2 linked regions of the Ovis aries genome follow. The protein of the gene in region 1 interacts with the protein of each later gene in a biochemical or structural test. Links are inferred from orthologs where the notes say so. Each region holds a gene or a part of one and is shown on either strand. Other genes may lie near its edges.

Region 1 (4,543 bases):
GTTTTGCATGTGCTTTTATATCCCTCTTGGAGGACCCACACCTGTCCCAGTTGCTGAGTTCCACCACCGAGTTCCTATTCTGGGAACACTTGAGCACATCAGAAAAATGAGTGGTTCCATTCTGGCTCACACCACATCACTGATGTACCCCTTAAAGCATGTCCCTGAGTTCATTGCAGAAAATTGTTCCTCCTTGTACCTTCCACAGCAAGGTTAGAACTGTTCCCCCCAGGGGAAAAAACAGTGAGAAGCACCAACTTAATAACCTCCTCTGACCCCTACTCCACCTTTACCATAAGTAGATCCAAATCCTTCTAGAAAATCAGAAAGACAGATCCCCCGTGTATCAGTGTATCAGCGGTATAAATAGAATCGCTCAGCAGGCTCTGGTGGACGGTGACTCTCCAAGGTGGATTGGGAATCAGCTGGCCTTGGCTGGGCATCACCCTCTAAATATAACGATGAGTTTGTTCAGCCTTTGCAGAAGGGAAAGGTTTTGCCCATCCTAGAGCGCGATGCCCTTGTCCTCTTTACAGGGAGGAGAGACTGGTGAGGCGTCGTCTAGTAAGAGCACCTCTCAGTTCCCACCCTAGGGCTGTGACACTTGCCTTTCCTGCCCAGGACTGGGGCATCGGTGAGCCCCGCCAAGGATGCGGGAGTGGGGTGCTCGGCTCAGCCTGCCATACTCCGGAGCCGGGCAGGTAGTCACTCAACTTCTCTCCCTTCCTGAGCTCCCGAGCCCACAGCGCGTCCCCGAGGCGGGCAGCGCTGGGGGGCCTGGCTCAGTGCCAGAGGCTGCGAGAGCCCAGAGCCGCTGCCCAGCGCCTCCTCCCCGACTCTCCACAGTTGTCCTGGCGACAGCTGCGCGCCCGCCGGCCGCTGGTGGCCCTCTCCGGTGGGGGTGGGGGCCGGCGGCGTCAGCCCTCTGGGCTGGGGAGCTCGGGCTTGGGGGAGAGGCCGAGTTCGCTGGGAATCTGGGGGGAATCTGCCTCCCCTGCCCGGGACTCCGGGATTGACCGCGTCTCCGGTCCTCTTGGCCCCACCACTAGGATACAGAGCCCTCCTCGGTGGAGTCACACTTGAGTTGGGGGGTAAAGAACCCGAACGAAGCAGAGGTGAAATGCGGGCGCACCTTCCCGAGGCTCCGAGAGCCCCGACTGGCCGGGGGCGGGGCGGCTGCGGACAGGTGCAGCCCGGGCGCAGGCCCACTGCGCGCCCCGCTCGCTCGGTGACCCTCGCCGCACCCCAGCCCCTCCGCCAGGCGGCGGGGCGGGGGCGGGCGGGGCCGACCGCCGGGCAGACGCTCCATATACGGCCCGGCCCGCGTTACCTGGGCTCAGGCCAGGCCTCTCCTTCTTTGGTCAGCGCAGGGGACCCGGGCGGGGACCCAGGCCTCGAACTGGTCAGGGGAGGGGGCTCTAGTGCCCGACACCCAAATATGGCTTGAGAAGGGGAGCGACATTCCTGCGGGGCGGCGCGAGGGGCGCGCCCGAGGGCTATATAAAACCTGAGCAGGGGGACGAGCGGCCACCGCAGCGGACAGCGCCGAGAAGTCTCGCTTCCTTCCCACGGTGACCGGGACCGGAGCCGGAGAGCCGCAGGTGTAGCCACCCGCCCAGGTAGGCAGGGGCGGGGTGGGGACAGGAGGACAGGCCCCACGCGGCAGCCGGGAGAACTCCGGGTAGAGTGCGGCCCACTCACTGCATCAGCCCCAGCCCCGCGCCCTGTGAGCCGGCCTCTGGCCCCAGAGCCCCGTGTGCTTTAAAGAAGAGACAGGAGGCCGGGTCCTTTGGAAAGATCTCCAAATTTATTCCCAGCCCTTTGGGGGCAGCTCTCCCTGACACTTCGTGCGTGCCGAGGCAGATGAAAGGTTTTGCTGTAGTCCTCCCCAGGGTAGTTCCTTCCCAACAGAACCAAAGGGCAGTAGAAGGGACAGTATCCCCTGGCTCGCCATCACAGCCAAGGGCGTTTCGGCTGTGAGTCTGAAGTGCCATGGAGGTCCAAAATAAGCCATTCGTGCTCTGGCGGAGTACCCACGCCCTTTCCACGGCGTCTCCTTCCACCCTCACAGTGGCCCAGCAATCAGGGTTCACGGACCTTGACCCCCATGCGACGCCAGGGAGGGGCGGAGAGGGCGGTGCCTGCAGCGAAGGCAGAGAGCTCTGGGGTCCGTGTGTCCTGAGTTCCCAGGTGGAGAAACGCTCTCTGCGGTCTCCTCGCAGTAGAGCTCCCAGCAGCGAAGCTCCGCCCGCGCGGCTTTGACTGCTCCCCCGGCAGGATGGCGCCGGGCTGGGGGCTGGAGGCTGGAGGTGTCCATAGGTCCCCCGGGAGGGAGGGCGCTCCAGCCAGCGGGGCCTCGTGCCTGAAACACTGAGCGTCTCCATGGCATTCCTGTCCTTGCAGAAACCAGACACCATGTGTGACGAAGACGAGACCACCGCCCTCGTGTGCGACAATGGCTCTGGCCTGGTGAAAGCCGGCTTCGCCGGCGACGACGCCCCTAGGGCCGTGTTCCCGTCCATCGTGGGCCGCCCTCGTCACCAGGTCAGGCTGCCGGTTCCCGGAGGGAGCCAGGCCGGGTCCCCACGCGGCCTAGCCCCGCTCCACTGGGAACCTCGGTAATGAGAGCTTGGTATATCCGCTCCGCAGGGCGTCATGGTGGGCATGGGGCAGAAAGATTCCTACGTGGGAGACGAGGCGCAGAGCAAGAGGGGTATCCTGACCCTCAAGTACCCCATCGAGCACGGCATCATCACCAACTGGGACGACATGGAGAAGATCTGGCACCACACCTTCTACAACGAGCTCCGCGTGGCCCCCGAGGAGCACCCCACCCTGCTCACCGAGGCGCCCCTCAACCCCAAGGCCAACCGCGAGAAGATGACCCAGATCATGTTTGAGACCTTCAACGTTCCGGCCATGTACGTGGCCATCCAGGCAGTGCTGTCCCTTTACGCCTCCGGCCGTACCACCGGTGAGAGCCCAGGAGCCCCCGCCCCCTCTTCCCGAGCGCCTGGCCGCTCCCCGAGCGCCCAGCAGAGCGCAGCCGCTCACCTCCGACTCCACCCTCGCGCAGGTATCGTGCTCGACTCCGGCGACGGCGTCACCCACAATGTGCCCATCTATGAGGGCTACGCGCTGCCGCACGCCATCATGCGTCTGGACCTGGCTGGCCGCGATCTCACCGACTACCTTATGAAGATCCTCACCGAGCGTGGCTACTCCTTCGTGACCACAGGTGCGCGGCGCCGCGGGCTCCCCAGGCGGGTGGGCCGGCAGACGGTGCGCTGCCCCCGGGACCCCGCGCTGAGGGCTCCTCTCCCGCCCCGCTCCCCGCAGCTGAGCGCGAGATCGTGCGCGACATCAAGGAGAAGCTGTGCTACGTGGCCTTGGACTTTGAGAACGAAATGGCCACCGCCGCCTCCTCCTCCTCCCTGGAGAAGAGCTACGAGCTGCCCGACGGTCAGGTCATCACCATCGGCAACGAGCGCTTCCGCTGCCCGGAGACGCTCTTCCAGCCCTCATTCATTGGTGAGCCCCGCGCAGCCGCCATCCGGCCCGTGCCAGCCCCGCGGGCCCCCCGGGCCTCCCGCCCTCTGTCTCACGTTCCCCTCCGCGGCCCCCAGGCATGGAATCGGCGGGCATCCACGAGACCACCTACAACAGCATCATGAAGTGCGACATCGACATCCGGAAGGACCTGTACGCCAACAACGTCATGTCTGGGGGCACCACCATGTACCCGGGCATCGCCGACCGCATGCAGAAGGAGATCACCGCCCTGGCCCCCAGCACCATGAAGATCAAGGTGGGTGGCGCCCTCGCCCAAGCCGCGGCCTGTGACGGGCTCCCGGCCGCGACCGCGCCCCTGACAGGTCCTCACTGTCTTACAGATCATCGCCCCACCTGAGCGCAAGTATTCCGTGTGGATCGGCGGCTCCATCCTGGCTTCGCTGTCCACCTTCCAGCAGATGTGGATCACCAAGCAGGAGTACGACGAGGCCGGCCCCTCCATCGTCCACCGCAAATGCTTCTAGACGCCTCTCCGACAGCCGCGACTTCTCCCCAGGACGACGAATCTGCTCGCGGCGCAGGCGGCTGACCTCGAGCCACCGCGCGCAGCTGCTCTCCAACCATCAGCGTTGCCGCTGCCGCAAACTGACACACTGTTTATAATGTGTACATACATTGTTTACCTCATTTTGTTATTTTTAAAACGAAGCCCTGTGGAAGGAAATGGAAAACTTGAAGCATTAAACTCAGCCGTTCTGTTTTGCTGCGTAAAGTTGTCTGTTGTGTTTATTTGCGGGGGCGGGGAGCTGCGGGGTAGGGGAGTAAAAGGGACTCCGTCTTCCTCCGTCACTTTTCACAATACTCTAAATGAGTGCAGGCCTTACAAGGCCTTGAGTTCAGTCTTCCGCAGCTCACGGCCCTCCCCTCTGGCTCAGATCTATTCCTCAGACTGGCACCCGCGCGGTGGCCCGACTTGACCTCCGGCGTGTCCCCTGTGCAGGGCTCTCGGCCGGAGGCGCCGGGGCGGCGC
Region 2 (3,690 bases), on another chromosome or scaffold:
ATTGAAGGAGACCCAGTTAGATCCCTAGGTGGGAAAGATCCCCTGGGGGAGGAAATGGCAACTCACTCTGGTGTTCTTGTCTGGAAGATTCCATGGACAGAGGAGCCTAGTGGACTACAGTCCATGGGGTCGCACAGAGTCGGACACAGCTGAGCAACTAACACACAGACACACCACACACACACACACAGAATGATAAAAAATAAAACCACCAAAATATGTAAAAGAATTAGAATGTGTAACCAAGACTTAAATACAAACAAAATTTTGACAGCCCTAACTTTCAGAAAACCAGTTGAAATAGAAAAGAACCTCTACCAGAGAACCGAGAAAATACATTTTCTAGTTGGTAGAGAAAGCCAGACCAGACTCAGCAGAAATTATGAGGGGAATATCATGTTTCAGAGAAAAAAAAGGTATCATAAATCAAGCTACTGGGCAGTGAAATAGGCTGCCTCTAGGAGAAAACAAATTTCAGATATTTAAATGGAGGCCGAATGACCTCTGGCAGGGATGAACTGAGTGAAAAGTTACACTAAACGACCTTTATAGTTTTCTTCATATAAACATTTTATTTCTTATTAAGTTCTTAGGTATCTTCAGATGTGCTCTACTAGAATAATAATAGAAAAATGAAGTGAAAGTGTTAGTCACTCAGTTGTATCTGACTCTGCCACCCCATGGACTGTAACTTGCCAGGTTCCTCTGTGCATGGAATTCTCCAGGCAAGAATATTGGAGTGAGTAGCCATTCCCTTCTCCAGGGGATCTTCTTGATCCACAGAATTAAATCAGGCTTGTTGTTTTCATGGTTTAATTGCATAAAAATTCATATAAATTCTTAAAAAATCCTTTAATTTATAGAAAAGGACTTCTAATTGACCTGAAATCCCTGGCATAAGTAGTATTAACTTTAACACCATAGTAAAATTATTTTTATGTATAGATATAAAAATGATGGGTCCAAAATGGACCATAAGTATTTCCTTCCCAATAGACTACAAAATAAACAATAGTATAATCCAATCAAAAGGAATACATGAACTTTAGAAAGGTGAGCCAAGGAAGAATCTGTTTTAGCATGGCATAGAGCTGTTCTTAACCCTGCCTCTATATTCCAGAAATATAACAGGTGAAACATCAAAATCCTTGGAATTGTCATTACTACTTCTGAATTAGCCATAAAGTGAAATGAAATGACCTTATCTTTTTTGACTTGTAATATAGCATTCTGAAATAACTGCTGGAAAATAAAGAGTCAAATGGAGGATATGAACAAACAGGATACCTGTGTCTGAAAAGACCAACAAGACATTTCCCATGAGTAGGACAGGCAATCAATAACAAATGAGCAATTCTGACCATACCAGTTCTTCATACTATGCAGGGATAAGTAGAACATTAAATTTTCTTACCTCTGAACTGCAGTAGAGAGGAGGTGAGTTTATAGAACAGCACTTGGAGGCAAAGTCTGAGAGCTTGGCAACCAGCTCTTGGAGATCCGTCTCCGTGGCATCAGGAAATTTTCCTCTTAGCCGCTCTGCCAATCTGAAAGGCCAATTTTATGTAAAGTTCTAATAGATGTATTCTATAAACATGTCCAGTGCAATTGGTAGCCACTTCAGATCTTTTGCAACAGCAACAACAAAAAAGGAAAATAGTGACCCTTAAGAAAACTTAGTATCTGTGGAATGATTTTTGATGTCTCAGTTGAAGATTAGGAAGTGAAATCTATGTCTTTTTAGATCATAAAAGTAAACATACAACCTGCTGCTGAATTTGAATTCCTATTATTTTCCCTTTCATTCACTCAGTTATATCAATCACATGGATGACTTCCTCCTCTCTTCTCCCTAATCTTTCATCTTCTCTCCACTTCTAGATTTCAAACTCCTCAAAGACTACTTCCCATATAGGACTTTGTCACCTTAATGTACTTTCTCTCATATATAATCTCTTCTGTTTGCCTGCTACTCAACTAGCTATGCTGGAAGGCACAGCAAGGTCTTTGTGTTTTTTAAGCCCTGCTTTTTATGAACTCTCCATCTCCACTTAAGATGGTGCTAGGATCTGACTTTCTTGATTCCCTCCCATTTTGAATGGTCCCTCCCAGTTTGAATTAACTCTCTCTCCTCATAATGGATAACTCAGCCTGGTTTATGACTTTTCCAAGAAATATTGATACTTGCCAGCCCAGTAGTGGGCATTGGGACATAATGGAGACCCAAATTTATCTAGAGTTGGGATTACCATAATGGATGCTGGGAAAGGACAGAAGGGTGAGGGGGATTCGCTTGCTTATTAAAGAGTTATTGAAAATAGTAGGTCCCAAGGAAGTCAGACTAGATGCAACTCAGAGGATAGGGAGAAAAAGAGGGTGTGTGGGATTTTAAATACCTAGACTCAATAGTTTCAATCTTTTCTACTTCAAAATCCCAAATAGCAATTCTACTGCATTAACACTTTTAACGTACTGAGATTATATAAATTATCACAGAATTGTCCCATGTAACCCTAGAGTTCAAAACAAAACTGTTGGCAGGGGACTCAATTTTGTATTATCCGTAATGTTCTATACCACCTCCATAATTTATTAATTATATAATCTCCTGATAAATGAGAAACAACCATTTTGAACTTAAGGCTTTCGCATTTATTTTTCTTTTAGACTTTGTTAAGGTCTTCATAGGGGTCACTGCAGTTTTCCTCCTTTTGGGATTCTTTAAAAGGTTTTTTTATGAGGTTGTATTTGTGCTTATTTGAGGGTTGTGTTGTTGATGGTTTGAAATGGATCTAAGAAATTTGCTTAATGAAATTGAGAATGGCATGATCTTACAGAGAGATTTTCTAGGAAGCCAATAAAACTTTTGTTATGACCTGTTATTTTAGTATTAACACCTATCTATAAAGACATGCTTCCTCCTTTGACTTGAGAAAAATGGCGATTGTACCTTATTGACTAACATTTCTATTTCCAGTTTTTAGAGAATATATACTGGTAATGGATGACGCCGTACTTGATTGAAAGTTTGGGTCATCTTATCAGACAATAAGCCATGAAGTTAGATAATATTTTTCTGCAGTTTTAGTTTCTCTGTTATGTATAGCAACAACTACAGATAACTTTATGGTAAGAGTGTTAATATGAATTAATTATATATTCTTTAAATCGTGTCCCTGTGGATCTTGGAATTCATGTTTCTGTGACTGCGTTCTAACTGACCTCTCATCTGATATACATGACATCCCCCCAGAAAAGAACTGTTTTTTCTTATATAGGTATTAGATTGACTATTCTTTACAACTCTTAAATTGCATCTCCTCTTTTCACTGCTCACTTGACACATCTTAAGTCTTCAGCCCTGCTTCAAATCACAATACCAGGCTATTATTATTTATAAATTTGAAGGAATCAGCCAGAATAAGACTCTTACTTTTTCTTGTACTCAGTAAATGTGTTTTCTGAATAATCAGCACATAGTTCTTGTCCTTTTTGAATGAAAGATGATAATTCCCTTGTCAATTGAGGGCCCTGTAAGAAAATAATGATTATATAACAATTACTTGTCTTGATACATTCTTCAGAGAGATGTTAAATTAGAATTCTGGGCAATGTATCAATATTAGTGTCTAACCTATGGACACCTTATCTTTGACAAAGGAGGCAAGAATATACAATGGAGAAGAGACA

The links.
Region 2: the proteins of ACTA1 (region 1) and GC are reported together in a solved structure, tested with the Homo sapiens proteins (2 studies listed by BioGRID and IntAct). The link is inferred for Ovis aries from reciprocal best matches to the Homo sapiens genes ACTA1 and GC.

The regions. Positions count from the first base shown.
Region 1 is NC_056078.1:961,693-966,235, reverse strand, and holds ACTA1 (actin, alpha skeletal muscle), read left to right. Parts: upstream 1-1,529; 5' UTR 1,530-1,619; intron 1,620-2,403; 5' UTR 2,404-2,415; coding exon 2,416-2,544; intron 2,545-2,649; coding exon 2,650-2,974; intron 2,975-3,076; coding exon 3,077-3,238; intron 3,239-3,339; coding exon 3,340-3,531; intron 3,532-3,626; coding exon 3,627-3,808; intron 3,809-3,893; coding exon 3,894-4,037; 3' UTR 4,038-4,285; downstream 4,286-4,543. UniProt on the Homo sapiens protein: Actins are highly conserved proteins that are involved in various types of cell motility and are ubiquitously expressed in all eukaryotic cells.
Region 2 is NC_056059.1:87,719,772-87,723,461, forward strand, and holds part of GC (vitamin D-binding protein), read right to left. Parts: exon of another isoform or gene 3,532-3,690; coding exon 3,434-3,531; intron 1,548-3,433; coding exon 1,379-1,547; 3' UTR 1-1,378. UniProt on the Homo sapiens protein: Involved in vitamin D transport and storage, scavenging of extracellular G-actin, enhancement of the chemotactic activity of C5 alpha for neutrophils in inflammation and macrophage activation.